5 linked regions of the Nothobranchius furzeri genome follow. The protein of the gene in region 2 interacts with the protein of the main gene of each other region in a biochemical or structural test. Links are inferred from orthologs where the notes say so. Each region holds a gene or a part of one and is shown on either strand. Other genes may lie near its edges.

What was found.
Region 1: the proteins of hdac3 (region 2) and hif1aa form a complex in vitro, tested with the Homo sapiens proteins (2 studies listed by BioGRID). The link is inferred for Nothobranchius furzeri from reciprocal best matches to the Homo sapiens genes HDAC3 and HIF1A.
Region 3: the proteins of hdac3 (region 2) and pparg form a complex in vitro, tested with the Homo sapiens proteins (3 studies listed by BioGRID, with this or other methods). The link is inferred for Nothobranchius furzeri from reciprocal best matches to the Homo sapiens genes HDAC3 and PPARG.
Region 4: the proteins of hdac3 (region 2) and ep300a form a complex in vitro, tested with the Homo sapiens proteins (2 studies listed by BioGRID). The link is inferred for Nothobranchius furzeri from reciprocal best matches to the Homo sapiens genes HDAC3 and EP300.
Region 5: the proteins of hdac3 (region 2) and nr0b2a form a complex in vitro, tested with the Homo sapiens proteins (2 studies listed by BioGRID). The link is inferred for Nothobranchius furzeri from reciprocal best matches to the Homo sapiens genes HDAC3 and NR0B2.

What each region holds. Positions count from the first base shown.
Region 1 is NC_091758.1:31,055,577-31,062,195, forward strand, and holds the start of hif1aa (hypoxia inducible factor 1 subunit alpha a), read right to left. Parts: upstream 4,358-6,619; 5' UTR 4,129-4,357; coding exon 4,097-4,128; intron 1-4,096.
Region 2 is NC_091741.1:31,110,175-31,116,252, reverse strand, and holds part of hdac3 (histone deacetylase 3), read right to left. Parts: intron 2,615-6,078; 5' UTR 2,613-2,614; coding exon 2,512-2,612; intron 475-2,511; coding exon 386-474; intron 1-385. UniProt on the Homo sapiens protein: Histone deacetylase that catalyzes the deacetylation of lysine residues on the N-terminal part of the core histones (H2A, H2B, H3 and H4), and some other non-histone substrates.
Region 3 is NC_091743.1:63,418,181-63,424,889, reverse strand, and holds the start of pparg (peroxisome proliferator-activated receptor gamma), read right to left. Parts: upstream 3,782-6,709; 5' UTR 3,481-3,781; coding exon 3,429-3,480; intron 1-3,428. UniProt on the Homo sapiens protein: Nuclear receptor that binds peroxisome proliferators such as hypolipidemic drugs and fatty acids.
Region 4 is NC_091756.1:27,987,523-27,994,111, forward strand, and holds the start of ep300a (histone acetyltransferase p300), read right to left. Parts: upstream 3,746-6,589; 5' UTR 3,608-3,745; coding exon 3,520-3,607; intron 1,518-3,519; coding exon 847-1,517; intron 1-846. UniProt on the Homo sapiens protein: Functions as a histone acetyltransferase and regulates transcription via chromatin remodeling. Acetylates all four core histones in nucleosomes. Histone acetylation gives an epigenetic tag for transcriptional activation.
Region 5 is NC_091745.1:40,693,487-40,699,528, forward strand, and holds nr0b2a (nuclear receptor subfamily 0 group B member 2a), read left to right. Parts: upstream 1-2,223; 5' UTR 2,224-2,662; coding exon 2,663-3,197; intron 3,198-3,282; coding exon 3,283-3,548; 3' UTR 3,549-3,750; downstream 3,751-6,042. Other genes in the region: kdf1a (keratinocyte differentiation factor 1), read right to left, coding at 5,416-5,501. UniProt on the Homo sapiens protein: Transcriptional regulator that acts as a negative regulator of receptor-dependent signaling pathways. Specifically inhibits transactivation of the nuclear receptor with which it interacts.

The sequences.
Region 1 (6,619 bases), on a different chromosome or scaffold from region 2:
CTAAAACCAGCACAAGAATAGTCACCCCAGGTTAGCCTTTCTTAAATGAAGATCTTTTTAAATGTATTATCAACTTAACTACTACTACTACTACTTAATACACAGAAACAGAAAAAAATACATTACGGACAAACACACATCTTAGCGTCACGCAATGCTCTCAAACAGTGATGCACCGGTATGAAAATTTTGGGCTGATACAGATATCAGATATTAATATCACTGTTATGGCCGATAACCGATATTTGCCGATACCAATATACTGACATTAATGCTTCTACAATCAGCAGATTTTGTATAGACTGAAAATTATTAAAGCTGAATTTACATTATTATGTACACACCACACACATTTACGCTTCTGAGATGATTACAACCACTGTCACATGACACATCACCCCCTCACCCTCTGTAGCAGATAAATGGAAACAAGATATCGGTTGTTAATATCGGTCCACTTTTATTTATCGGACCGATATTGATATGTTAAAAAATGACATCGGCCGATACAGATATCGATGCCGATATATTGTGCATCCCTACTCTCCAAGGTACGAATGTATAAAGCAAAATCATTGATACGTTTATTTTATTTATTTATTTTGCCGTTTCTGCCTAAACGTAACATGTAAGCTCACTGGGAGCAGAGGAAAGGAAAACTATGTCAGTGAGAGGTCTGAGTTAGGAGCGCTCACTCTGTCACATTTCGCACAGACAATACAACAAAGATTGTAAAAACGATGATTCACTTTGATCAGTTTTCAAAGCCTAAAACATTTTAACCTTTTTTATCATCAATTCACTTGTACTTTGTATTAACTCATTAATCAAACATTTTCTCATAACGAACTTAATAATTATCTAACGGCATCCCATAAATTAAACATTTCTATCACTAAGTTGTTGCAATTTTGCACAGATAATGTTTAAAGCAAATGAATGCATGATAGGAGATATGTGATGTTCGCAACCTAAGTGATTTATTTATTTTTATTAAGGAGGACCCTGCATGCTTTGGTTTATATCGGCATTGAGCATCCCGAATAATAACCAATGTTTATGTATGTGTTTATATATGTGGAGGGGAAAGGCAGTGGGTTAGCCAAGCGGTATTTGTTTGGGCGTGTGACAGTGATTTTGATTTCTGCCCAAATGTTCACATCGGTCCATCCCTACTCTTAAAATGAGCCACATTATGAATTGTTTAACACTTGGCTGGAATTTACCTGGTGCGATTCTGTCGGTTTAGAACAATTTCACAAAAAATAAATGTCTTAATAAGTAAACTCAATCTGACAGACTGGCTAATATATGATTTTATACAATGGGCGCAAAAGACAGAAAGGATATAAGGCTGAATGTGTACGTTTTTATTTATCAGACTCAAACTGCTTATTAATGCAAGGAAGGATAGTTTAATATGTACAGAGATAAAAAAAAAGGTCATACATCCTTCCTTGGATTGTCTGACATGGTAAACTCCTAAATACTGTGCTAAATTTATCCATCAAGTGGAAGAAAAAGTTTCCAGATTTTTGTGATTTTGGCATCTGGGAAACTGGCAGAAGTTCTCTAATCATTATGTCCTTGTTCTTGTTTACCAATTAAATCTAACAAATACTTGCCTTTTTCTAAACATCACTACTGTGTTTTCTATTTAGTAAAATGTGTGATGTTATATTTTTAAATAAAATTTAATACATATTTAAATATAAATTTATAAATAATAAAGCATTTAGCAGTGATTCACGTGCCGAGTGGAAGTAGGTTGTTGGCACACATTTTCGTTATCAACCACAAACCAAAACACATCCGTGGTTTGTTTAGGCAAGTGCCTCGATTCTTTTTCAAGTTCCAACTGACCTGCGACTCAAATGCCTCAGAGCAACCTGCTAATACACAACCAGTGAGTCGCTGCAGCATTTGGCTCCTAAGTTATTGACGTCAAGCCCCTTGTGATTAAGGGACGAGGCAGGAGACTTAAACCAGCCTGCAACACAGAATTAACCTGAAGTCATATTTATTGCAATCAAAGACAATAGTGACCCTTTGCCAAACACATCTAAAGTGCTAGGTTTCAAAAGAAGCACACAAAAGGGTGAAGTCCCAGAGGGAAGTTGGATACAGTTGACAAAACATCGCTGAGGAAACAACATGATCAGAAAAGAAAGGGAACGCGGGTCAAGAGACTGGAACAGGTTTTAGATCGAAGTCTTCTGCTTCGAAGGCTTTTGTCCCATTGCCAGCTCATAAAACAACCACTTCATTTGTAGAGCCATTTATGTTTGTACAGAGATTTCACAATAAACTGCCACTCAGTGAAAATAGAACTTCATTTAAAAAGACAACAAGGCTGTTTTGGGATGCAGCAAAACAAAAATAAAAAATAAATAAAACCTAAAACATGGCAGGTAAATTTTCCAAAAATCATCATAACCATCAATTATATATGATCTTTTCTAGTTTCTGAATACAACATCACTCAGAGCCAGCTCACACTAGAAATAACTGATTCATAACATTAATGTTTTCACTTTCAAAACCACAAATTTCAAGTAAATTTGATTTTTTTTATTAATTGCAGTTTGAGATAAAATGAAATGGGACCAAAATGGTAGTGTCAGGTAAAAGCTGCCCAATAATCAATAATCATTACTGACCTTAAACCAGAATGAGTGAATTTCTAATAATCTATCACCCATGTCACTTGTTTAAGTAGATCATTTCTATGTTTTGTCATGGCACTAACAATACAGCCATCCTCTTCCCAATGTGCATAAATTGTGCCCTTAAACAGGAACAATAACTAATATTTGGTATAATATGAGCTTTGTGTGTCTCAGTGCACAGTTTAATGCATCTCATTTAAAAAAGCCTAAATTAGTGATATATTTGGAGCAACTGTTGGAGCTATTCTTGTAAAGTGATTTACACATCAATTACGACACATTATTTTAAACATGACAACATTTTTAAATGATTTTTCCATGGACAAAGTCTGTTTGATTTAACACTAGAATACTCTTTGTCAAGATGTCTGGCTATTGTTTTCCAGTAAAAAGACCAAATCATTTGATTAACCAAATGAACATTACAAAAGGAGTGTATGAGTGAAACACCAGATCAGAAAACCTAACAATAGAAAGTATTAATATAACCAGAGTGGTCATTATACATTAAAAATTAGCTTTAACGTTACCCAAAATTTGGGACTTGGGATGAAATCTTAAATCTGTTTTGCCTTACAGTCTTTAAAATTAAAGCAATCAGTATTTCAACAATCCAGGGGCATTTGACTTTATAAGCTTCAACTCTCAATCAAAAGGTTGAGCAAAACCAACTGCACATTGCCTGGAAGTATTTGTTGTGAGGATTAATTAAAACATTTATTTTTGGTAACTAGCTTCACTAATCATCTGAGGTCAACATCCTGGCCTAGAGCACTGTTAGAGTTAGCAGCAACTAATAAAATGTGGAAACATTTTCCTGATGAGCAGAGCTCATCTCCCTAGTGAATTTAGTTACCGGTAAGTGCTTTTCAACACAAGTGCTGACAATGAAGCTTATAATTACTGTGACGTTACACCAAAATTATTTCTGCTAAAACAATGGATCACTTAATATTTTTACTCAAAATCCAATATTATTTTCAGACCGCTCACATAGGTGCCAGCAACTTTTAATTCAACACTATCAGATTAAAACAAAACCTCCCCTGTAATGTATTATTTAATAATGTGCCAAAGACAAAACAAAGGTAAATAACGACCATGTGGCATCGAGGAAATCTCAGTGCCAACCACACAAAATCTTAGTAAGCATCAGCTGTTGTGATCAAAACAAATTAGATAAAAATAAAAGCAGTTAAGTTAATAAAGCTAGCTCAAACTGGCTACTGCTGGTTACTGAAATGTATTAGGTGCTAGCTAACGATGCTAGCAGCACTAGCATGCAAACGAACACAGCAAACTAGCAGTTAACCTTGAAATTAAGGCCGTAATGTCAGTGGAGTTATAGTTATTTAATATAAAATAAACGCTTAAGTTGTCTAGCTAGTTTTAAAACAACATGTCAAAAAACAAAACTGTGACGTTACCTTTTCTTTTCGGGTACAATTCCTGTGTCCATGGACGATTGGACTCGGGTTGAGCCTCTATCTGTGTCAAGCCGTATCCGGGCGCGTCGAGAAATGAAACACAATCCCGCGATTATTAAAAGATGTTAATCCGTAGATCCACAAGTGGTTTACATAAGAGCTAGTGCTGTTTGACTGCTGTCCCAAATGTGAGATCAAACGCTCCAAAACAAAAAAACTTAACTGCTTCTGGGAAAAATAGTGCCACGCTGGATAAGTGCTTCTTTACCGGAGACAATGTTGCCTCAAGAAGGACCGCGCTGGCCCCTCCCACTGTCTCCGCGGGTACGCGCAATCACATGATTTTTTTTACAACAGCGCGCATGTGCACAGGAAACCCAAGCAGCTCATTCACAATTAGGAAAATAAAATAAAATAAAATAAAATAAAATGAAACGAAATAAAACGAAATAAAATAAAATAAAATAAAATAAAATAAAATAAAATAAAATAAAATAAAATAAAATACACGGGATTTAAAAGTAGTTGTGATTTTTTCTTTCCTTTTCCCAAACATAATTTTATTTTATAAATTTAAATTCGCAAACGTGTTTGAATGCCTTAAATTGTCTAAAATGTTGCATGAAAAATTAACTCAAGTAAATTATAATAAAATAATAAAATTTCAGTTGGATTATTTTACAATTTTAAAGAGCAAGTCACATCAAAATCAACCTTTTTTTAAGCTGATAACTAGTATAAATGAGTGTCTAATAGTGTTGTTCAGCCTTGTAGCAGTCGAGGCTCGGCTTAGCCGCAAGTGAGTTGTGCTGTAGTTTGAACCGGGATAGAGTTTGAAGAGCATTTCACAAATTAGTCTAAGCCGTAGTAATTAGCCTGATCCCGCCGACTGCTGCTTCCTCAAAACGGAGATTTTGGGCCCAATTTCAGGTGAGTAAGCTAAATATTTAATTTAAACTGCTTCTAAAGATCATTCTCTACCTGTAATTTTGCAGCTATATTTATAATTACAAAGAGACTTGGACGTGGTTCACGTAATTTAGACAATCAGTCCACGCTGCCGCAGGCTCGAAGCCAATGTTGTGTGTGTTATAATGTCAGACTGGTTCGTGCTAAGTTTTTGTGCCAGTTAGTAATATCAGTGCTGATGCAGAGCAGGAGGTACACTGAAGAGTAGCTCCTCCTTCTGCTAAAAAGCTGACCCGGTTCTGAACTGGTGCTGAGTCTGGTTCTCATTAGAACATGTCTGATTCTGGACCCTGAGTTAGCTCTGAGAGCAGTCCGATCACTCACCAGCCATGTTATAAAGCACATATATTACACAGTTTGTTTTGTACATGATCTAAGTTAGTCAACTCCCACAACAACTTGATGTTATTATAATTTTCAAGCTAAATCTGCCCAATAAATCTTATGTCAGACTGATGTAGTCCTCCACCAGCCTGCACTGGCCCAGACTACAAGCCTTGCAGGTGAGTTATTTTTAACCATCTGTCTTTCTTTACCTTCTAGTTTTAACAACATATAATTATTTTAGCTTGTTACACACACGTGTGTTACTGCTCTTAAAACCAACTATAAATATATTTGCTGTTTCTTTATATTTCACATAGCCTCCCAGCAGCTGTGTGTCTGACATGGGCCCATGATGGGAATTCCACCTAGAGCAGCTTCTACACTCCTGAACAGATCCAGGTGTGGTGGAGAGCTTCTGAGCAGCTTCCATTTGAATGGCAGGACAAGCTCTATGAACTGATCCAGGTAAAAACATTCTAAATAATAATATTGTACTCTGTATTCTGTTTATTTCCTTACACTTCAGCCTGACTGGTCACCACTGGAGAGGAGCATCTTCCCAGACTCACACTAACATCCCGTTTTACCTCAGGACCTCCTGATCTAACAGAAAAATTTGTAGCTCCATCCTTGCTCTGCTTTCCACATGTTTCTCATCATCTCTGAAAGCGACCTCCCATAACACTGTGATGTTATTTTTTTTTTCAGGCTAAATGATCCCAAGAACTCTGCTGTCAGACTGATTGTTGCAGCTACAAATGGCCCAGACTAACATTGCAGGTGTAGTAAAGATGAGTTGTTTTTAATCATGTAATCTTCATTACAGCCTTTGAGTTTTTACATCATCTATGTTTTTGTTTCATAGCTTATTGCTACACGTGTGTTGCTGCTGTGAGCTTGGAGCTAGATTACATCATGACATCATGAAGGAGGCGACTGATTCTGGTCCTGTGACACTTGGTGGTGACGTGTGAGCTGATTCACCTGGTAAATAACTTTTAAATAAAATATTTTGTTTTTAAGCTATCAAAAGTAAATTAACTAGTAATCTGCATTATTGTAGGGCACTCAGCAAAATATGGACGCTACACCATGAGGCAGGCACGCGTTAATATTCTATAAGAGCACGAGGTGAGCAACACCACAGATTATTGTACACTGTTTTGGATTTGTTTTCTTTCTGCATCTCATTAGCCTGGCTGATCACCTGATAACTCCTGTCATCTG
Region 2 (6,078 bases):
AGTGAATCATTATATACCACATAAGGACAATGTAAAGCAAAAGTAACTAGTTTTGGTAAATTGTCTGTATTTGTATAATGCCTTCTTAGGGTTCTACAACCCCCCAAGGCACATTACAACACAGTCATTCACACACACATTAACACACTGATGGTGATGAGCTATGATGTAGCCATAGCTGCTCTGGAGCGCACTGACAGAGGTGAAGCTGCTGAGCACAGGCGCCACCAGTCCCTCCGACCACCACCAGCAGGCAAAGCAGGTTAAGTGTCTTGCCCAAGGACACAACAGCATCAATCTCTGATTAAAGTCAGGATCAAACCTGCAACCTTCCGATTACTGGACAACCTGCTCCACCTCCTGATCTGTTGCTGTCCTATTTTACCTGATGATGGGGTACAATGTAGCTGTTGCAGGGTTGCTCCTCTTGCTGCTGCTGGTGATGCTGGAGGGCAAGGCTGTGTTGATCTCAGACTGTAGGTAGTAAAACGAACAGAGGAGAAATGTTAGTCAATTACAAAATTAATGTAAGATAATAAAAAAAATGGCAAAAATTGGTGAAAACTCTTAGAACTGTAAGACAGAAATATCTGAGACAAAACCTGTTGTAAATAAATGGAAATCTAAACATTAGTGGATAATAGAGGAGTTTATGTCAGAGATAAGAATGCGACAGAAATATAAACAGAAAGAGTTGTGTGTGTCTTCAATCTCATGTGATCTATCACTCTCCACTTGCTGTCCATCTGAGAACAAGGCAAAATTAGCTATTGTATGAATGAATTACCGTAAATCCTCTAATATTGGCCTGTATTCAAGTAACTGCCGGGTATCATATTTTGGCCGGTGTCTGAGCCGGCGGAGGTGAATAATGGCCGGTCTCTTATTGTGGCCGGGTGGAATGTGGTAACAAGCAAGTACGGGGGGCGGTTGTGTCACTTTTGATTTGCCAGTGATAGACCGCGAGGGTAACTTTAACCGTGCGGAGACGAAGAGGAGGCGAAAATTTGATATCAAGGTCAAAGAGAACGTGCGCTGCAGAACACTGGGGAGCAGTAGTAGGGGTTGTATGAACTAGTCGACTTCACTATAGTGACTTTTTATGCCTGTCATTGACTAGTCGCTGTCACGTGATAATGACCGGCAAGATGCAGTCCACGGAAAAGACAGCAGCCTGCTGTCAGCAGGTGACAAGCTCCTGCGCTCGGGGGGGGCAACGCGCTGTGCCAGAGCGTCGGTACTGACACGCGATCGTTCATGTCGGTTCATTTCCTTTAATGTTTTCTGTCTTTTATTTGCGCCTGATGTGTTTTGCTGCTGTGGAGCGGGGCACATCAGCTTGTCCTCCGGTGACGCACCGATCACTGATGCGGCCGCCAAGCAGGGAGCACTCCGCTGTTTTTGCGGTCGGTAGATCTGCCTCCTGCGCAAGGCAACAGTAACATTATCAAATCAGGTGTCGCCACCTCAAAAACTAATTTAACACGCGATTGTTCATGTCGGTTTATTTCCTTTAATGTTTTCTGTCTTTTATTTGCGCCTGATGCGTTTCGCTGTGGAGCGGGGCGCATCACCTTGTCATCCGGTGAAGCACCGATCACGCTGCCACCAAGCAGCGAGCACTCCGCTGTTTTTGCGGTCGGTAGATCTTTTAGAACTGCAGTTCAAAGGTAACTCATAAGGTGAATATATATGAACCCAGGTAGCAGTTTTTCTTTAGGATTGAGAGGAGATGCAGGAAGATAATAAACAGGCAGGACAGAAAAATAGTCAAATAAAAACAAGTTAGTGTTTGTACCTGCTGGTTGCAACAAACAGACACCACTGAAGGTAATCAGAAGTGAGGAACAGAAAATGAAATAATTATTTTAATGTTTAGAGCAGCAGGAACTCTGAGAGGCTGCAGGCGCATCAGTGAGTTTGCGGCCGCTGCGCAGGGGGAGGGGGGAGATGGCTGAAGCAGGGGGAGGGGGGAGATGGCTGAAGCAGGGGGAGGGGGGAGAGGGCTGAAGCAGGGGGAGGGGGGAGAGGGCTGAAGCAGGGGGAGGGGGGAGATGGCTGAAGCAGGGGGAGGGGGGAGATGGCTGAAGCAGGGGGAGGGGGGAGAGGGCTGAAGCAGGGGGAGGGGGGAGAGGGCTGAAGCAGGGGCAGGGGGGAGAGGGCTGAAGCAGAAACTACCGTTGTTAAAAGAAATGTGTTTAACTTTGAAAATGTGGGCACAATTTTAATTGTCAAAAACTCCAGCGAACCATTAGTTCATTTTGCTCAAATAGAAATAGAGGCCTGCCTCTAATTCTGGCCCTCTTTCCAATAAAGGCCTGGAGCTTGATGAGCTTGAGTCAAATACAGGCCCGGGCCTGTATTAGAGGATTTACGGTATGTAGTTATTCACATTTAACAGGTCTTGCACCTAATCCATGATCAAGAGGCTAACAAAAACATTTTCTGGCATCAAAACATTGCAGTTGTGTATATTATTGTTTCTACACTTGTTGCTGTGATGCAACTTACCTGTATTCTTTTTTTATCCAGCTGGTGAGGGACCCACTGCCTTTAGCTGCCTCAAGTAGCTCATTCTGTCGCTGCTTCCGCCTCCTCTCCTTACGAGGCATGTCTGTACAATGATAAATCATAATTAATTTACAAATATTTTTTCATGCATATAAAACTCATGCATACACACACTGGGACATTTCATTCCTTTTCCAGAAAACTAACTGTATATAATTTGGCCACACATTTGCTTCATGATGCTGATCTAGAATATTTCCATACTATTTTAATTATAGTGCTTTAGTAATTATAATAAAAATAAAGAATAAAACAATATGTTTATGCTTTCATTCAGTTTTACTATCTACTTTGTGCAAAACAGAACTGTACAGATAAAATAATTTTGCTGTGAAAACAGTAGTATTTTTTTTAAATGTACATCTTTAAAACATAACGTAACATAACAACATAACAAAACAACGACATAAGAAGGAGTAGAGGAAAATGTTAACTGCTGGGCGAAAAAGAAGAGAAGATGTGTGGAGTCAATTTTCTTATGATAACATTGCTACCAAAACTACATGCCGAGAGTGTGGACTGTCGTTCCGAGGAAAGAACACAACAAATCTGAAGAGGCATCTACAGAATGGCCACTTCGCCATTTTCTCCGAGGTAAATCCACTTAAATGTTGTACACGTGACGACCCGAAAAGTAACATACAGGCAAATAAAACTGTACCAACTCTGTCATGTTGGGATAAAAATTCGGAAGTACTGTATTTTCACGACTATAACGTGTGTTATTAGGGAAATAGCGGGCGAGCAGTGTTGATGCATGATTGCGCATGCACCGTGAGCGGTTCTGGTACTTTTTGGGTCGCAGCCGCTCGCTACACGTGCGCTCTAAACCAGGACTAGACCAGTAGAGTGAAGCATGCTGTTGGTTGTTTATAATTTTCACAATGTCTGGTTTGCACTGATATGATCCGAGTCCCGAGCCCGCACAGATGTTTTACCGGTTCGTTTTATAACGACTAAGACTAAAATAAAATTAAAATTTCCTGTCAAAATTAACACTGGTTAAGAGTCCCAGACACGCGGTTCCATCCATCTGTCATGACCCGAGACAACTCTGGACTGAAGAGTCGGTGCCACGGTATTCTACAGCCCTTCGGCGCCAGAGGTCAACCGACCTCTCTGATTTTCGGACCCACCAAGAGGGTCTCCAGAATTGGTGAAGTAGACACACAGATAGCATCTAATGTGCTTTTTGATAATGATCAACTACATAGCTTAGTGCAACCCAAATTCTTTTACATCCAGAACTCAGCTTTCCTAGATCCAGAAGTTCTGATAACACCACATTCACCCATAGGTTTCATACATCACATCTAGTTCCATCCACTCACAGCAAATGTTAGTTAACTTGTCATGTTTAATTGTTTGTAAAATAAATTCTTACTTTTATAAACCTGACTCTTTGCTGAATCAAAACAAAGTGTGTACAATCCCTTAATAAATAAAGAATCCTAGATAAATCCTGATAAACACACAAAGACCAAGCAGGGTTGATATTCTATATTTAGATAGAGTATCACAGCTTATTGGTCACAAGTAGAGGTAATATATATATTGAGCTCTTAAGCACTCAATTCCCTAAACTCTACAATGTTTACAAAAATAACTTGAACACCATCCATCCATTTTCATCCGCTTATCCGGAGTCGAGTCGCGGGGGCACTAGCCTAAGGTGAGAGGCCCAGACTTCCCTCTCCCCAGCCACTTGGGCCAGCTCCTCCGGGGGAATCCCAAGGCGTTCCCTGGCCAGGTGAGAGACATAGTCCCTCCAGTGTGTCCTGGGTCTACCTTTAGGTCTCCTCCAGGTTGGACGTGCCTGGAAAACCTCACCAGGGAGGCGTCCAGGAGGCATCCTGACCAGATGCCCGAGCCACCTCAACTGGCGCCTCTCGATGTGGAGGAGCAGCGAGTCTACTCTGAGCCCCTCCCGAATGGCCGAGCTACTCACCCTATCTCTAAGGGAGAGCCCAGCCACTCTTCAGAAAAAACTCATTTCTGCCGCTTGTATCTGCGATCTTGTTCTTTCGGTCAATACCCAAAGCTCATGACCATAGGTGAGGGTAGGAACATAGATCGACCGGTAAATCAGAGTCAGAATCAGAATCAGAATAGGTTTATTGCCATTGTCAGTGAACAAACAATTCAGAAACTAGGAACTTGCTTTGGTACTAATGTGCTACATATAACATGAATAATAATAAGATTAAAAATAGAATAAAATAGAATAAAAATAGAAGGAAACTTTCAGCTATAAAAAATGGCAGGTAGTGTTAACATGGCTGATAACGTGATGTTGTGTCAAGTGCAGAAGACCAGCATGGCTGTGTATTTATAATCTATTCACAAGTCTAACGGCAGACGGAAAGAAGCTGTTCTTATGGCAGGAGGTTCTGGTCCGGATGGACCGTAACCTCCTGCCTGAGGGGAGCGGCTCAAAAAGTCTGTGACCCGAGTGAAAAGGGTCAGCTGCCATCCGACCTGCACGCCCCCGAGTTCTGGAGACGTACAGGTCCTGGAGAGATGGAAGGCTGCAGCCAATCACCTTCTCAGCGGAGCGCACAATGCGCTGCAGTCTATGTTTGTCCCTCACCGTGGCTCCGGCGTACCACACAGTGATGGAGGAGGTGAGGATGGACTCAATGATGGCCGTGTAAAACTGCACCATCATCTGGGCCGGCAGCTTGGCCTTTTTCAACTGCTGCAGAAAGTACATCCTCTGCTGGGCCTTTCTGATCAGGGAGCTGATGGATGGCTCCCACCTAAGGTCATGTGTGATGGTGGTTCCGAGGAAGCGGAAGGAGTCCACAGTGGTGACGGGGGTGTCCGTCAGGACGAGGGGGAGAGATGGAGCTGTGACTTTCCTGAAGTCCACAATCATCTCCACTGTCTTCTGAGCATTGAGCTCCAGGTTGTTGCTGCTGCACCAGTACACCAGCCGTTCCACCTCCCTCCTGTAGGCGGACTCATCACCGTCAGAGATGAGCCCGATGAGGGTGGTGTCGTCCGCAAACTTGATCAGTTTAACGGAGTCATGGCTCGAGGTGCAGCAGTTTGTGTACAGGGAGAAGAGCAGAGGAGAAAGTACACAGCCCTGTGGAGATCCTGTGCTTATTGTCTGAATGGTGGAGACATTCTTCCCCAGCCGCACGCACTGCCTTCGGTCCATCAGGAAGTCAGTGATCCACCTGCAGGTGGAATTGGGTACGTTGAGCATGGAGAGCTTGTCCTGGAGCAGAGCAGGGAGGATGGTGTTGAACGCAGAGCTGAAGTCCACAAACAGGATCCTAGCTTAGATTCCCGAGGAGTCCAGGTGCTGCAGGATGAAGTGGAGGGCCAGGTTGATGGCGTCGTCTACAGACCTGTTGGCTCTGTATGCGAACTGCAGAGGGTCCAGGAGGGGGAGGTGAAGGACTTGAGATGAGGGAGGACCAGGCGCTCAAAAGACTTCATGACTACAGACGTCAGCGCCACAGGCCTGTAATCATTCAGTCCAGTGATACGGGATTT
Region 3 (6,709 bases), on a different chromosome or scaffold from region 2:
AATTTTTGTGCAGATATTTATAATTTCGAAAATGTGTGGTAATCGGTAGCCTAAGTCTCATATCATATATATTGTTTGGGCAGTAGGGGATCCATGGACTGGAAGAAGATGGGTGTGACTTAGGCCCTGTCCACACGTAGCCGGGGATCTGCCAAAACGTAGATATATTTCTACGTTTTGGCCTGTCATCCACACTAAAACAGAGTTTTTTCACACGAAAACAGATCTTTTTAAAAACTCCGGCCAAAGTGAAGATCTGCGTTTTCTCCGTTTTGGGTGTCTGCGTGTGGACAGACAAAACCGGAGTTTTAAGGTCCGCAACGTCACTTTCCGCGACAAAAAAATGCTGACATCACGTGTGCGACACTAGCCGACAGCATAGATGCCCTCAGAGCTGCGCTTGCTTTATCAATTGTCCAAGTGCTTTTTGCTTGTTTGTTTTTGCAAGCGGAATTACTGCTCCTTGCAGAAGACCACAGACGAAGGACGAGGTTAAGAATAGGGGAAGTACTGCCGCCTACAGGTCTGGCATGTCCTTAACAACGTATTTATCCGGATACGTGTGGACAGAGTTTTTTTTTAAAACGAGGTGGTGTGGATGCAAGTTTTTGGAGGGGCGGATATCCGTAAAAAAAAAAACCCCGGCTACGTGTGGACTAGGCCTTATGCTCCCTATAGCAGAGTTTCCCAGGGTATAGCAGTCTGGTGGTGGTGGTGGTGGTGGTGGTGGTGGGTGGGGGGTGGGGGGGTGGGGGGGTGGGGTGGGGGGGGCTTTCCTTAAAGTGACAGAACCCTGAAATGGCTCATTCTGGAAGGTACTAAAACGGTCAAGATTAAAACTGCTAGATTTGCTTCATGTCAGAGAGATTTACTGCAAAGAACTTCATGAAAATGTTTTGTATAGCCATAAAACTATTATAAGTAAAAATGAACTCCTAATATGTCCTCTTTAATATTGATTAAAACCTATAAGAGTAAATTATGAAACCAAAATTAATTCATCATAGAGCTTATCATCAAATATAATTAAAAAAACCTAACATTCAGTCATTAGTGTGAAATCTATGTAGATACTAACTTATCAAATCTAATTTTCTTCTTGACTGATCGGTTGCATGGAGAAACTATGATGAACTGAGAGCAAAGCTGAGAGATGAGAATAGCTGCCACGGGAGCCTGGAAGTCCAAACGGAGACAGTGCAATCAAAATGTGTTTTTTCCAGGAGTGTCCATACTTGGAAAAAGAACTGTATGGAAAATAAATAATGGTTGCAATGCCATAGTGAGTGCTGGGTCATAACTGAAAGTAATTGAGTATTTTATGTTGCACATCACACACTGTACGTCACATAACTGTGGAAATATGTGCCATGAAAAGAGGCATGACTAAATAGAAGGATACTTTCAAAGCGGAACATGACAAAATAATTTTAATAATGATTCTTTTGGAGCCCAAAGCAAAATGCGTACTTAATTAATCACACATCTCTCTGTCAAAGTACAAAAGATTAACAAGTACAGAAAAGTTTTATTAGCAAACAACTTGCCAGTGTCCAAAGTTTTGTTTGGTGTCAATAAAAGTTTGCATCTGCAGCCAAAATGTTGCGGTTCGTAGACAGAAAATGATGAAATGATAGCCCTGAAGTTAATAATTACACCTAATTTAAAAATAAATTGACAACCTTAGGGTTAAACCACTTCAAACGCCAGCATTATCTGATGAAACCTAATCAGAAAAGCCTTTTAAAACACTTATTCACTGCATGAAATTAAAATGAACAAAGCAGGATTTTGGCAGTGCAGAAGCAAAAGTGGTTAATTATCTGTGGGTTCATCCAGAGCATGTCATTCTCTTTTATCTGAATGTTTATGCAAAAACAGATGTTTAGACAGTCTTCCTTCCTTTTGCGATTACATTTCGCTCTTAAAACTGTAGGTGACTGAAGTACCTTCCAAAAGGTTGTGGCAGAAAAAGTTGATATTTCTTTCTTTTACATCAATAGAAAGCTTCAAAAATGACAATAAGTGACAAGAAGTAACTTGAACTCTTTAGCACACAATTAAAATAGCTTTATGTGCAGGTGTGTTATCCACAAAGCGAGTGATCAACAACAAAGAAATAGCAACGTATCTTGAAGCACTCCTTTCGTTTACGACAACAGAACAAAGTCCGAATCTGTCTCAGTCATTCATACACACATGCACCAACAAACACATGGACGCACCTTACTCTAAGAATTATATAACCTGATAAATGAGTGATTTAGGGCATGCAGTTGCATCAACGCCTGTATCGAAGCTGCTGTTAGACTTTAAGTCATTTATGTAAAGATTACAGGATGTTTTTTTACCTGAGCTAGTATTACTGATTCAAGCTGCATGAGATTTATGACACCAGAATCCGAGGCAAAACTTTCAGGACTGCACTCAATTTCTTCCAAATGAATAGCTGATGAAAATGCTTGCATTCAAATAAATAATACTTAAAATAAACCAAGCTGCTGCTGTAATAAAAGTAATATTTATGCTTTTACCTGAAGGTGCATTTATAAATACAAAAACACGCCTTGATAATTAATCACTCAATAAAAAATGTATTATGCTTTGTCTCATTTAAAAAAGGACATAATAAACTATGATCAGCTTAGTGATAAACTCGTCCTATCGCATCTGGAATGTTTGATGGACAATTTTGCTTAAACCCAATAATAATTTGTTAACCTTTAAAATGCTATTTATTGATTTAGAGACATTTTGACAGAGTTTGACCTGCAGCAGTTTATTGATAATCAGAAGTACAGAAAACTCGATTTAAAGATATTAGTCTAAATTTTAAACAAAGTTGCTGAAGCTAAATATTTGCCTACATTAAGTGATTGTTTTGTTGTGTATCGCCAGATCACAACTCTGACTAAAATAAGAACAAAACAAGTACATTTAAAAAAGTAACACTAAAATAACGTTCCAAGAAAAAAACATAATACAGAAAATACAAATGACACCGAGCACAAATTTAGTGAGCAAAATGTCAAAAGGGAGTAAAAGGTGATGATTTACATCTGGTAATGCTAAGCATTTATTAAATATTCTGATCATAATTACTGTTTTGACTGATATCTATAACACGTTTCCATTTTGCAGCTTGTTTTCACCATTATCAGTCCCATTAAAGGATAAACCAACAGATCAGATTTATTCCCCACATGAGTTCAAAATTAATTCATCAAAACCCAAAGTGGAAAAAACAGGAGTGACTGTGTCAGTCTACATTATTATAGCTGAGTCACAACTCTTATGTAGCAGTTACTGTAGAAGAATCTACAGTGAATCAGCACATGTGACCCCCCCCCCCCCCCCCCCCCCACACACACACACACACACACACTCTAAAACACTAGAACCCAACAGCAGGCATCACCTGGTCTTACCTGAGAAGATGTGACCACTTAGATGGTGAAAATCTCTGCCTGGTGTTTGCATGTCAAGCTCACACTCGCACTGTGGCCCAGAGACACACTCTGGACCAACTCCTGACGTGCATGCCAGTTGTCAGCCCTGTGGCCGCACCCCCTCTCTATCGCCACCCCCAATCTACGCCACTGGCTACTTGTCACTCTCTAGGAAGTGTCCACCTTAAGTCGACATGTTTGAAAAAAGTAAAACTTTAGTATGAAATCAAAAAGTTAAAAGTTATCCTTATTGTTTTAAAATGACACAAAAACTGATGCAGACACTTAAACCCAGTCTTCTGAATTACTTTACTTTTTATGACGTTTGCAGTGTTTTATTACTCCTAGCAGCCACAACTCCAAGCACAATAAATAGTGAACTCAGAAGGGGGTGACTGACCTGATCAGTGTGTTGAACCGCAGAGGACAGAGAGAGTCCACGGGCTGCGTTTCCGGTGTTGGACCGCACTTTCTCGGTCGTGTTTAGCTCGCCTCCCCCCTGGAACCGGGGGCTTGGGCACCGAACAGCCGCAGCAGTGTGGTTGGGTCCGGGTCCGTTCGCTGTGGAGCGCTCAGCTCCTGCTGCTGCTACGGTGCGTGTGTGAGCCTTGCCTGGTGCGTCTCTCCCCTCCCTCCTCTCGGCTCAACCTCCAGGGATTTAAGGACACATAAAAAGGCGTCAAATTACCTTCTAAAGCTCCGATTTACTTAATCGGATCTATTTAAACTGATTTATTATGCGCAGAAAACACAGGTACTGTTACAAGTTTTTATTTATGAGAGTGGATCTTATAAGGCACCTAATGAGTGAAATAGCATCACACAAAATGAATTCTTTAATCTGGCATCAACTCGGAATTTTTCAGAAAAACTGCAAAATCTTCTAGCTAATCATAAACTAATGTTTTAGGAAACATTTGTTGTTTATTAAGTCAAATATGGCTCAGCATGCACCAAGAAACAACCTATAAGTGTAATAAAATGAATGTATTTTTTAAAGTTGATCTCACCTATCAGCACATCAAAGCTGCATGGAGCTCATAGGAAGCTGAACACATTTTAAATTGTGGTTTGTGGCTAACTAGCCACACTTTTAGCCATGGCCAGCTACTTCCTCATATTAGCATATTTAGTCAAGTTAAAGCTGCAAAGGCAAGTTTGGAAAACAAATTAGCTTAAAACATGTTTCCATGCCCCTTAACAACATTTAAACATAGTATAGCAATACATATTTTGTGGAGAATGATAAATAAATAAATAAACAACTAGTATAGAATAGACTTTTTTTGATCCCACAGTGGAGAAATTCACTTGTTACAGCACCACCAACACTTAAGAGAATAATTTGAAGAAAAATAATAACAAAGGTACATGTACAATACATAAAATATATACATAAAACAAAGTGGTTCTCTTGCATTTGTCTAAAAATCTCCGCCAATACCAATGAGCCGCCCGAGATTTTGAGAAGTCAAGTGGTCACACAGGACACTTCTTGGAAAGTCGCGCGATAGTCACAACATCACACGGGACTTGAGAACAGGAAGCGGGAAGTGACACGTGATCAGACTTGCCATCGTGTTTTGTGACTCAAATTCATTAAAAATGGGTAAGTACGCTATTTATTAGAATGTTTTATAATCAATAGTACTTTAAAGTTATCAAAACTGTGACTGAGTTTGTGTCATAAAGCCGTTCCGCGACATAATGACTGTTGTAAAGTACTCCACAATGTCATAAACAGCCACCGCGCCACTTGAGATAGAACTGGTAGCTGTCTTCAGTGCCTTGGCGCTGCGCTTCTGGGACGCGGCGCTCCCAAGGGGGCCACTCTCATTAAGTATAATGGCTTCTATTTAAAATGACGGCGTGACGTGGCGCAGCCGCCTCCGGTGGGCCCCAGGCTTGAAGTACGGTGTGAGAGGCTCGCTCATATTATCAGAAAAGGTGAAACAGCTGGCTGCTACCACTTCAACTTTCGGACAAACTACCAGAGTCCCAAAAAGAAATACACCATTTGAAGCCACAGCCAACCAAAATATTATGGACCTAGAAAACGATGACCGGTGTTTAGCACTATCTCGTTTCGTCTGGCGTTGCAGGTTTCTGGTTCCAGCAGAAGCATCTCAGGGAAGATACCCAAGGGGAGGGGTGAGTGTTCTGTGTTTTCGTTCAAAACCTAGCTTGTTCTGTAGATTTTCTTTAATAGCTTTAATTTGGTCAAGTTAAAGAGCAAGTCACCCCCAAATCAACATTCTTTTGCTGATGAACTATATAAATGAGTGCCTAATCATGCTGTAGACATGTATAGTCAATAATGTGGCATTTTAGAGCAGCTTAGTTCAATTTAAATATTCTGCCTAAAACCGTCAGTGTTTTGTCATCTTCAGGTAAAAACTCTACACTACATTTGAATTTAAATCTCCCATCGCTATTGGCTAAGAGGTACACTATGATGTTAGCTGGTACATTATGATATCACAGTGTTGTTGTGAGCGTGTGTGTATTTGTTAGCAGCTCCACCCTCTCGGTCTGCCAGGCATCAGAATTTGTTGCATTTTTCAAACAAGAAGTGGGAGTGGAGTAATATTCTGGTAGGGGGTGACTTGCTCTTTAAAGAAAAATTATATACAATTTTCGCTGCACAAGTTTAATGACTAAGGTTACGTGTCTCATCTAACTTTATTTTAAACACATTAATTTACTGTGAAATGTAGTTTTACAAGCTAAATGACTACTGAGGTGCCACCATCTTAGTCAGTTTCTAATGATGACTAATAGATGCATTATTGTCACATCAAAGGCTCAACTCATAAAATACAGCCTTTAAGGTAGCACAAGTAGAGAAGTAATATGACATATTCTGCAGTTATATTAAAACATCCCTTACACAGTTCAGTTCTTCTACTGCTGTAGGAAGTTGCAACCTGAAAATGTCTGTATTTATAGTGCCTTTCGGGATTTTCTTTAGGTGCAGAATTAAAAAGAGGACGAGTCTGGCAGGCCAGGCTAGCTAAAACTGTCTTATAGTAAGACAAAATACACTTTTCTTAGAGTCACATGGCCAAATAGGCAACATTCAACTCACTCAAGATGTATATTTTAAAATTATTCACAAAAGTCAGCAAATATGTTCATTTACACCATGATCTCATTGTGTACCTTTAATATAATAGTTTAGGTGGCAAGCTGACAGATTCTGGTTAGATTAGGTTTGAAACGTCCTGTGGCAGACTGCAAATGCAACAGCAGAGCAAACT
Region 4 (6,589 bases), on a different chromosome or scaffold from region 2:
CTGAAATTGTTTTTTCCTCAAACTTAAAAACTTCCCCCCATAATAAAATATTTTATTTTATGACATTTATTCTGAATATTAAAAAGTGGAATTTGGAGAAAAAAGATTAAATAAAGTATTTCATAGGTGAATAAATGCAATATTTATTAAAACTTGTGAATAAATTACAACCTCGGGCCATTTTCAGTTTGATCTTTTACCTTTCATCATCGTTTTAGCTCAGTTTGATGAACTTTAATGTGTTTTGAGTTAATAGTATTAAGCATATTGCATAGAAAAAACCCAACAGCTGCCTGCATAATAATTTACTACACAATTTATCTACTACGTTCAACAGCCAATAAGAACAGCCTCTCCCACTGACAAGACTTCAAAGCATCATTGGACTCTTGAGTGTTAAGATGAGCACATGACATGCTCCCGCACACTCCAAATGTTCCCAGCATTGCGACAAATTTTCATCTCAGCCATATCACGTTCAATCAGCGACAACCTGACACTTACTGTCACTCACAGGACCATCAGTCACTTAAACGTGGTCAGTCTCTACCCTTCTAAACTACAGGTTATAGTTTAATAAAGGCACTAGGCTGAGGACATGAAAAATATTAGAATGCACTAAAAATATTTAGTAGGACAGCAAAGGGGCCCCGACACACATGTTGAATATAAACCTGCCTGACCAATTCATTTTTCTATGACTGCAGAAGTCCTATCTTTTTGGCTTTAACATGATCATCATGTAAAAAATAACTATTTGCAGTCTGGCATGAGATTTATCCCCTTCTAAAAATAAATGGGATCACCTGCAATGTTTAATATCATGTTAATAAGGAGAGTCCCTACCTTGTTCATGGCTCCATGCTGCTGGGCTCTGGCTCCAACCTGCCCCCCTGCCCCTTGCTGCTGTAGAGTGTCAGCCAACAGGTTGCTGCCACCAGCCATCCCCTGATTACCGAAGCCCATCCTGGGGGAACCATTCATCACCTGGTTTCCAATCATCCCTGGCTGCTGCTGTCCGTTATTGCCTTTCTGCGGCACACCAATCATGCCCCTGTTAGCCATCATTCCACTCTGTTGTTGCTGCATCATGTTGGCCTGCTGCTGAGGAGAAAGATGCTGTTGTCCCATCATCTGCTGGGGCCCTTGACCTGAGGGGGCCTTCATGTTCACCAAATGTTGCCCCATGGCTGTGGGGCCTCCTGGGCTGCCCATGGCTCCTTGATGCCCCTGTTGACCAGATGTGGTTGGCCCCGTTCGTAAAAGCTCAGACAGTTGTTTGTGCTTAGCCACTGCATCTTGGCCTCCACCAATACTTGTGGGGCCCCCTCCAGGACCAAGTCCAAGCCCCATTCCTCCTACTGCTCCACTTCCACCTCCTGCACCCAAGCCTGCAGGTCCTCCTCCCAAACTGGTGTGCAACTGGTTGAGGTCCCCACCATTGACCAGACCTGGTTCATTAGAGCTGATGAGCTCATCTGGGAGGTCGTGCTCCAAATCAAATAGTGAACCAAAATCTGAAAAGAATAAATACAAAGTTTAAGAAGATCATTTGAACTGAAGGACAAAACTTCCAAAGAGTCAATTCCATATTGAGCTGATATACTCCAGGAAGGGGTACACAACTGTCAACAATAGGTAATGGAAAAAAACCCACCCATGATGACAAGTTTAACAACCAAGCTCAAAACTAGAAGTGACTTTCAAAGCTAGTGGCCTGGTACAACAACTACACACAGCTTAACCTGATGGGGGAATGGAGAGGTGAAAGCATCCCGTACTTCTACAAATTATTAATAATATTAAAATAGTTGATCAAATCAAGTTAAACAAAATGTGCACAAGTGTAATCAAAACATCCATAACATCAATGATCAGCAGAAACAGTCATGTGACTCAAATTAATGTTTTGGTCATAATAGATGGACTGAAAGACTTATTTAGAGGTTTTGGACATTTAGCTGCTTTTCACTGTTTGCTGATGCTTCACTGAATCCCATCTCACATTTTAACCACTTATTCTAACTATGACACAGCTAGAATCACCAAGTGATAGAATAAAAACCATGAGTCTGTATTCAGCTAGATGCATGCTTTTCAGATTTGTACTTAAGTTTAAATAGCTTGTGTCAACGTCACTCCTAACGCTTAGAAAACAACAATCTTTGGAAGAATAAATGGCATCCCAACACGAGGAGGATTTTTCTTATAAAGCACTGCAGCGCTCTCAAAACATCATGCAACGTAACAAAACGTGTGTGACGTCTGGAGTATTTCTTCATCGATTCAATGACAGATTAGTGCTAGACAACCAAAGACGAAGCCGATCATCGTAAAGATGACAACAAATGATTACATTTTATGTGACAGAGAATCTAGTCAACGTGACTCCCTGGCTAATGTCTGTTATGGCACGACGCTATCCACGCTCCGGTTTTTCTTCTTAGGCCGTAATAGCCAATACATTACGCCATTAACTACTATTACTTTTTTAAACTATACTATATCGAGAAAAATAAGTTCAATAACGACTTAAAACACTGGGCCTGAAGATAGACTAGCCTAAATGTTTATTAGTACCCTCTGTTTTCGCTAACATTATCAACGAGTTAGTTTGGAAAACAAGATCCTCTAAGACGACGCTAGCCTAGAAATCTCACAATTCGCGGCTTTGTTAGAAAATGACTAACAGTGTGATATAACTATAAGACAACAAAGACTTCAGAATAAGGCACATGAACACTGAGCTCACAATCAGTCCGAATAAAGTGGTCATTAGGAACGGACAGTTGTGGACTCGGTTAGCCTTGTGGCTAGCAGCTATCTCAGGTGTTGTGCTAAAAATGGCACATCGTTGTAGGCAAACGCATTTGATGGTAGTTTGATTAATTACTTAAGTGGAAGTCTGAAGAAGAAAGTCAAAAGAAACAATCAATTTAGTATGTTGCTCAATTAAATTATTTACGGGTCGTATTTTGATATATGGATGTGTGTTAGTCAATGTTTCAGTATGGCAATTAACCCATCCCGTGGAGAGTAGCAAAATGTTTCTATAAGTATCGGTATTTTTGCAAGTTTCGAAGATAGTGTAAATTTAGTGGCTGAAATTCCTTCCTGGTCAGAAAGAGGCGAATCCTAACATCAATTTAACTTAAAAGCACACAAACTGCATCATTAAGCTACATCTTTCTTTTATCTAGTCGTCAAATGAACTGAAAACCATATATAAATTTGTCACTTTTAACTTGTTAAAATTGAAAACAAGTCAACTTCCCTTAATGGTGGTGCGTTTCGCGGCAGGGGAGCTCATTTCGGCACAACACCGGCTAAAATGGCTGTTAGCATGTGAGCTAACATCCCTTCCTCACGTCCGACACACACACGCTAAAATTAGCAAGCCACGACAAAAACAGAAGAACAAACCCGGGTCTTTGGCCTCTGTTATGCAAACAAGTCACTAAAAAAGGATAATGTTAACGAATATTTCCGTTACAAATGATAAAATAAACCAAAACTTACCATCGCTAGCGGAGGCAGAAAGTGCCGGAGAGGAGAGTTTAGGCCTCTTTGCTGAAGGCGGGCCAGAGTCCAGAACGTTCTCGGCCATATTTTTTCGAAATAAAAATATATAAAGTCTCCACAATTGCAGACGTTTTCACGCCCCTAGAAGCTCATTCCTTTTCGTTTCTAATATTGCGACTTTTCCCCCTCCTTTTGGGGTACTAAGAGGGGGAAAGTCCCGAGTAGAAATTGCTCCTCTTTCCCTGGGTTCGCCTCTCGATTTCAGCCTCGGCGTACATCAACCCCCTCCCTCCCTCGTCGGATTTTTTGTTCTTTATAAATTTCTGCCAGCGGAGGAGCAGGAGGAAGGGATCGGCGAAGGTAAAGACGAGGGAGACACACGCATCGGCTTCGCTCCGTAAACTCAAAGCGCCTCTTCCGATGCAAATGCGCTGTCCCCGGGTGTCGCCTCCATGGCTGCATCCGTCATTTCAGCCTCCTTTCCAACGGAGTTAGGATGAAGATAGTGTCGAGCAGAAAAGGCTGCGAAGTGACGGTGGTGGTGCTGCTGGTGGTGGAAGCGGGTGTGGAGGAGAGGATGTAAATAAAAATATATACATCAGTTAAATCTGCATCTGTAATCACAAAGTGTTTTAATAATAGTAAAACATAATTTATTTTCCAACAACCCAAGCTTGCATCACCTCCTTGTTGAGTTAAAACTGGAAAGACTAAATTTGCATTTTGTCAAACAACTTTGGCACAGGTTGTCTGATTTATCAGAGTTTTGTTGGTTAGTTTTGTTTTATTAGATCTAGACACTTTGCGAACAAATGTGACAATACAAATACAGAAATCCATGCCTGGTCCTTCTGGAAAAGTTCTAACCAGATGGTTCAGACATTTTACACAACCCCTAAAATTATTTATCCCCACAAGTAAAAACATTACCCTTGCCTTGTTTTTCAACCATAGGTTTAAACATTGATTATATCAAATGATTTATTTTGTGAAAAATTATTTCCGCACTTTAAAGGATTAACAAAAAATAAAATGGCACAATGGCTTTATAATAAGCATAAGACAGCTCTCCATTGCCCTGGCAGCTCTACATTTCCATGGTCAATGCATGTCCTCTAAACTTCTGTCTGTTTTCAAAGACTGTATAACTCGGTAACTCTATACCATGCATTGATTTGTGTACTCCAGTGAAAACACCCTTAATTCCTTTATTTAATATATATATATATATATCCTGATCTCTTTGACCAGTCATCAAACAACTCACATTAAAGTCCAGGAACAAGCATTGAAGCTGTAGATAGTCAACACTCCTGCTCACTCACAGGGGAAAACTCCCAAACTAAGGCTCTTGATTTGTGAGAATTTCCACATTTGCAAGGTTCCTCATCCTGTGCATAACTCCAGAGTGTAAATGGCTGTGAGCAGGTGGATTGTCAACGTCACTCATTCAGTTGCATATAAGTGGGCGTTAACCCGGATGTGGACATGGCGTTGGCATTCCATCTGGCTTGGCGTGTTGCAGCAAACCAAACTTCCACGTAAGTGCGGGTATTTTGACAAAAATTGATTAAATAAGAATGTGTCGCCCTAACAAATGCTTGTACGTTTAGTCTATGGTCTTGCTGTGCCAAGCCTCTGTGTGACATTACTTTGATTGCACCCCATGGCAAGAGGAGCAAGGTATTTGTTCTTTTCTGTTTTGTTGCTCCTGATGTTTGTCAGCGATTGTCTTTAATTTGTTTGTAAATTATGTATTTTCAGTTTTCACGGTGTTTGCACAGTGATTGACACCAGGTGCTCGGTGCGATTCTGGGAATGAGATGTGTGCATCTACAGCCTGACGAAAATAAAAAGTTGCACCCGTCAAAGCTCTCCTCCTTATTTCTTTTGGATGCCAAGGGGCAGCAACACAGAGTATGAGAGAGTTCAGCCCATGTCTACAAGTTATTCATAAACCAACTGGGTCTGGTTGGTATTGCTTGACCTCACATCAGTTTTGGCTTTTTTTCTGTCAGCAAACTGACATCTCTACATCCATAGAGCCAGTTTATGATGCTTGGGTTTGGCCAGCCTGGGGCCCCAACCTCATCTGTTCTTTAACTCAAAACATTCAATACATTAAATTTCAACCAGTCTTCCAGCAGATGGGTGTGCCAATGAGGGCATAAACAGCAAGTGGCATAGCAAAACTCTTTCACGTTGAGCTTGGCTAGACCCCTGGAGGCCCAAATACCTGGTGCTTGTAGATAGGCCCTACTTTACACGTATAGGCCTCGAGCCACAAGTCTCACCATATATAGGGCTTTCACATCTGGGTCGCGCAGGCCTAGCCCTGATAAGTGAATTGTGTTCACATCTGAGTAATCTGTGTTTTCTGTGCTCAGTTGACCATTTTTCTTTTTTTTAGACCTGCTCTTTGGCAATCCACTTCATGCAAGATTTACCCAACACACGCAATATCAACTAATTGGCTGGCTGAAGTTCATGCCTACCTATAGAGGGAACTTCTGATTGGCAGGTAGAATCAGCCAGTGGGGGTTCCCACATTCACATTTATTATCAGCCTGGATTCAGTGGAGTAAACATCTCTCACTGCAGGTCAGAACCACCGCTCCAGCCGTGGCAGAGCGAGGACAGACTCCTGTGAGGAGCACAAAGCAGTAGTGATGTGACATTCACGAACGAATCAAATCTTTTGAATGGGTTTTCAAAGTGAACGTTGAGAGCCGAGTCCCTGTAGAGAGCTGTTCATCTTGTCTTCCGGTAACAAACCTCCCTGGAAGTCGGTAAAGCGCACCCGCTCAACCCCCATCCACCGCTGTGACGGACGTTAGAGGAACGCTACCCAACCACCGTGCTCCGGACACCGGAGGAACACATTGCTCTTAATACACCCCCCACCCCGCTCTCTTGGCTTCGCTTCATTCAAAGGAGCGAGTATTTTGAACGGCTCTTTGAGGTAAACAACCGACTAATGAACGGCTCCCATGAAAGAGTCATAAATCCCATCACTACACAGCAGTCTCAGTGAGAGAGTAGGAAGAAATGTGCGTCTCCAGAAGCA
Region 5 (6,042 bases), on a different chromosome or scaffold from region 2:
TTGCCCTGCAGAAGGTGATGTAGTGGCAATAAATACATCTTATGTTCATGCTGTTATGTTTATTAAGCTATGCTTAATTTTCTGTCCCTTTTGTTATGTTCTTATAGAAGACTTGGCTAAACTGAGGTTGATGCAAACATCCTTTGTGTGTTTGGGCCATCCAATGATTTGTTATGGTTGATTGCACATGGATGCAACTTAACGCAGAGCACCGGTGTTCTGCTGAGCTGTGGTGGCCTCATGGAGCGGGCCGCCGGCTAGCATGCTGCTGCTAACTACTTAACATACTCCCTCTCTTATTAATAACATTTTACTCTCTTTAACGTTGTATGTGCTACTACTAGTTCACCTGTTGAATCAGTTATATGGGCCATTCCCATCTGTACCGGGTCGGCCCGGGCCGGGTAGCGTAGGTTGTTTACATATCTGGGTGGCCTGGTATTTTTCCGGGCCAACCAAGGCTCATTCTCAGCCCTCTTCTCAAGGGGGTCTGCTTCAGGCCGACCAGGGCCAACACACCCACTGCTGACAGCAAATTCACACCTTCCATTAGAGCAAGCCTCTGATTGGTGGGTAGAATCAGCCCACATGGGCTTAAGGCAAGGATGTGTGGAATCAACCGGGCCAGGCTGGGGCCGACTGGGGCTACCCGGCCCGGGCCGACCCGGTACAGATGGGAATGGCCCATTAGATTCACCCAGATAAAGACAATAAAGTTTATTTCTCACTAAATAGAATATTTAATAAGAAATCACAATCTAGCCATAGGAACACCACTTGGTGTGTGTGTGTGTGTGTGTGTGTGTGTGTGTGTGTGTGTGTGTGTGTGTGTGTGTGTGTGTGTGTGTGTGTGTGTGTGTGTGTGTGTGTGTGTGTGTGTGTGTGTGTGTGTGTGTGTTTGCGCTGACTTCCCAATCCCCACTGTCGCTACACACTTGCTTTTGAGGATTGCTGCAAAGACCTAGTCAGTGACTCGATGCCGTCTGCTGAGTTAGGAGCTATATAAATAATCTGAACTGAAGAAAAACATGTACATTATTGAGATTAGTTGTGAAATGGCCAACAACAAGAGAATGTAACATTTGTAAAAACAATAACACTATTTCTTTTTTGATCAAGATGCTTTTTTAGATAAGTTTGTCTCACAAACGGAACATCTGCAGTTAGAATGCCTCATTTCATTTCAAATGTGTTGACAGCAAAATAAACATGTTCAAAAACTTCTACGTAAATGCAGCTGTTACTCAGGAACTGGGCAAAAGCAAATGCAAACAAAGAAACTATAGAAGCAGACATTTGTAAAACGGGTTAATTACGTTCCAGATCACTAACAAACACTTCTGTGCATGTTTCAAATGAAAAACTGGTCTTACACACGACCCTTACGATCACACAAACAACCTTTTAATCTTCTGTGTAATAATCGTGTTAAAGATCGAAAAGGCAGAATTAAAACGCAAATCTTGATGGATATCCATTAACGGTGTGGAACACTGAAAAAAAGTTTTAATTATTATTTCTGATTATAATCGGTCTCCGAGTGTTTCGTTCATGCTGAACATGAAAATAGTCTCCTACACCTAGGATTTGAAAAGCCTGACAGATCTACGCCACGCTGTCACCTAACATTCATGGACTCACCCTCCTTGACTCGCGGCTGTTGTTGGCTTAGCATCCAGGAAACAGCAGAGAGGTAGTAGAAGCTAACGTTAGCACAAGCAACTCCACCACACAGCAGACCTCCTCCAGGCTCGTGTTATTTGTGGAGAGAAAACATCAACGTTGAAGAGCAAACAGAGTCAGTGGTAGAGTCGCGTTGCTGCTAGCCGGTCCGATTTTAAAGGTTAGTAGGTGAAGTGGTTATAAGGTTGAAGTATGCTTTGGGACTTCTGAGGATTAGATGCATTAAGTGTACATTTTACCGTTTGTTCCCACCCCAGAGTTACAGGTTAAGCTATCAATGCAACTTGCCCCTAGGGGGCTCGCTACAGCGATGAACTTGTTTTATATTCTTCCCGAAGTCATTTGGAATCATTTCAATAGTTCCTTTAGTCATCACACACTGTTGAAATTCATCTCCGCATTTGACCCATCCCCGTGGGGAGCGGAGAACTGCAGCTGTGGTCGGGAATTATTTGGTGGTTTTATGCTACTACTACTGTTTCCCTAAAATTGAAGCATAATTCCCACTGTTCCCGGTTTGGAAACGTTTGTCTAAACTAAACTACGTTTGATGAGAACACGATGTGAAGGTCAACGGCCTCCTTTGTGGTCTGGCCTCCTTCCAGCACTACAGGTGTGAGCTGGCGGGTGCAGTGACACAGCGTGGGGCTGATTACCTCTGCAGTCCTTGGTAGCTTGGTACTGCCTGGGTTGATGACACTGCCTTCCAGATAAGGCCAATCCCACTTGATATCCATGTGTGACTCCAGCAGCTACTTCTCAATGAGAAAAGCTTATCTGTTTCCCAGGGTTATTCCAGCAGTCACCTGGCAGAGCGCGCGGTTGTTTTTCACATTGGGTGTATTGACATTTCAAGGTCCACTAAGAAGGGAGGGTTGGCCTTATAAATAAGACTGGAGGAAGCAGCAGCTCTCAGAAGCTCAGACGGAGCCCGTCGTGGCAGAGAAGAGGTTCAGAGGAGCAGCCGCATCGAAGAAAGATGGATAACAGATGCCAGTGTTCCGCTAACAAACAAAGGCAGTTAAACCCGATCCTCTACAACATCTTGAGCCAGATGGACAGCGGTAGACCGACTCCAGACACCTCCAGCCACAGTTCCGTTCCTCACAGATGCAACTGTGAGACGCGGCGGAGAGTGTGCTTAAAAAGGCCGTCTGTGGTCTGCAAAGAGGCGTCTGCAGTTCTGGTGAAAACCGTCCACTTCATGAAGAACTTGCCAGCGTTTAACCAGCTGCCACCCAGTGACCAGTTTGCACTACTTAAAAGCAGCTGGGTGCCACTTTTTATTTTGGGTTTGGCCCAGGAGCGCGTGGACTTTGAGGTGGCGGACGTCCCTGCTGACAGCATGCTGAAGAAGATTCTCCTGAACTGCCAGGAGAGCCCTGAAACAGAGCGGGAGCAGCCAACCATGGCAGGCATCAGCAAACTCAAGTCGTGTCTCAAAAAGTTCTGGAGTCTAGATGTGAGCCCAAAGGAGTACGCTTACCTGAAAGGGACCACGATATTTAATCCAGGTATGTACTGCGTTAACTGGATTCAGACAACAGATAATCCAAGGACTCGTTTGTCAAGCAACAATTCTGGTTTTCTCTCAAACAGATGTACCAGATTTGAAGGCAGGCCTGTTTGTCGAAGGCTTGCAGCAGGAAGCTCAGCACGCCCTGAGCGAGGTGGTCCAGCTGCTTCACCCTGGCAACCAGGAGCGCTTTGCTCGGATCCTCCTCACAGCCTCCATGCTGCAGGGCATCACACCCAGCCTCATCACCGAACTCTTCTTCAGGCCTGTGATAGGCCAGGCCAACCTGCTGGAGCTGCTGGTCGACATGCTCTTCAGCCGATGGGAGGGGTGGTCCTCGGGATGGTGACCTCCATGCAGCGTGCTTTAGAGGCTTCTATAAAGCACACTAGGGTTTTGACTTTCGTCCGCTGAAGCTGAGGTCACTTCACCGTCTGAGCAGAACTCCTGAGAGGTTTTTGAGTTTTGATCCTACGTGTCGATGAGCTCCTCTGCTGTAAATAAGCATCTGCATTTCCAGAAAACTTGAATAAATATATTTTTGTACACGACTGAGTCCGATCCGTGGATCCATCCTCCATTACATGTTGTGCTCAGCAAACTTTTCAGAAAGTCAAGCGTAAGCCTGCGCGTTAAAGGAGAGAATCTAAAATTAGAATGAAAACACACATTTGTGGCTTCAAATGGAACAGAAAACCTTTTTTCTGCCTGTACTGCTGTGCTGTGTCTCCCTCTAGAGGACGTTTGGTGGAAGTTTTTTTTTCTCAGAAGACTAGCGGCAAATATTTTCTTACTTTTGCATTTCTCACAAAACCACAGCATCAAGATCCCCCCACCCCATCGTCACAAAAAGGGACAGAATGGCACGAACGCTAAACTCAGCGCAGTATAAAAAAACACTGTCTGCATGTAGTTATTTGAGAAATCAGGCTTAGTCATCCTACTTTGTGGTATGTTAGTTGTGAAACCCTGTCTTTACATGACAACTCGTACAGGTAAAACAGGAATGTGCTGGTGGGGGCGGTGAGCCGGTGGAAATGGGGTTACGCGTGGAAACGGCAACACAAACAAGACAAAAGGAGAGTCCAAAATGCTTCAAATCGAGTGCAAAGTGGAAAAAAACTACACATTTTTGTTGCTGCAGCAATTTTTCTTTTCAGCAGATATGAAATCATCCAAATGTTGGAGTTGTTAGGATAAGGTGGCTGTAATCTGCTAGATTTACTGAAAACTTAGAACCCGGTGCATTCAAACTGAACATCTTCATTTGAGCAGAAACAAGAAAACGTGAAACAACGATCAACGCGTCCTAAAACAGATTAGAACCAGAAACCAAACTCTTCATTCTCTTCAGGCTCCTGCAGCAAGTCTAGTTATCGGAATTGCTTCTTTCCTTTTTCCATGAATGACAAAGACAAACCTCGGGATTTTATTTCCTTTCTGTCAGAACCAGCCAAACGAGTTCCTCCTTTTGCTGAGGGCGGAAAAAGCCTCTACCTGCTAGAACGCTGACCTCGGAGACGAGCCTGCAACAATCCCAGATTCGGAAAAAAAAGGAAAAGTGAGCTGGAGAGGAAGAAACTCGAATGAAAAATGATTTCTTGGTGTATGAAAGCTACACTAATATGCCAGTATTCCACTTGTGGCTGCAAGAGAACATAAACACACTTAAATATGCAATAAAAAACACAAGAATTTAGTTTATTTTTTTAAAATACAACTTTTTGGGTAATATAAAAAAAGACACCAAACGGCACAATGCAACATCATTTCAAGAACAGTTATGGCTTCAGCACAGTTCTGCTGCTTAAACATCAGCAGCAGCAGCAAAAAAAAAAAAAAAAAAAAAAAAAAACATCTCAGGTTAAAGAAACGGTAACAGATCAGCTCAGACAACACAACGCTTGTAAAACTAAAAAAGGAAGGAGGACGGTTATGACCTACCACGGGGTTTGATCCTGTGGCTTTCTGACGGCTGACTGATGTTTTCAGAGAAGTCTAAATCTTTAGAACACTGATCACAGGTTTACCTAAACATCAAAAAACAACGTACACACCTTTGTTCAGGGGGACAATTCATAGCAAAAAGTGTCTTCTCCTCTCACTGGAGAACTGTAACCATCTAGAGAACGGTGCTCTGCTCAGTAACAGCATCCATGGCAGTAGCAACAGCAGTCGGGTGACACCCTTCTGCAGTAAAAGCACATCAAGTCTCTTCAGATGAGCAGAGGAGCTCCTGACGAGTGACTTCCTGTGTCGTGATGGTACGGCGAGGAGACCGTGGCGGTGCTGGAGGAATACGCTGGTGGAGAAGCAACATTTGTACAATTAAACAACTCAAACAGCGAGGGCTCTACATCATCTGCACGGGGAGGGTTCGTGCAGTGAGAAAGCTGCAGAAACACAACGTGCTGTACCCTCATTCAGAGGCGTGTAACCAGACACCTTTAAACTGCCTGTTTGCTAAAAAGCAAGTTTGAAGGGAGAAAAAAAAGCCAGTTGCACTGTAATTTATTAGTAACCCAAGTTGTTTGCTAACATGACGTAACGTTACAAGGTGTAGATTTGATGTGACTCGATCTGCTGCTTTAGCGGGAGGTGTAGCATGACCGCTGAGCTGGGGTGGGGGGGATAAAAGAGCCTGGAAGACCGGCACGGCATTAGGTGGGACTGTAATGTGCGAAGAAAAAGGAGAAGGAATGCTGTTTGTTAGAGAAGTGTGCTGCTGGAAAGTAGGGAGGAGGTGAGAGAAAGCCTGCAGCTGCAGACGGCACAATGGTTAGGGGAGATGGGAGCCTCACCATGCAGACAATCACAGACGGAGGAACGCTAAATTTTACACC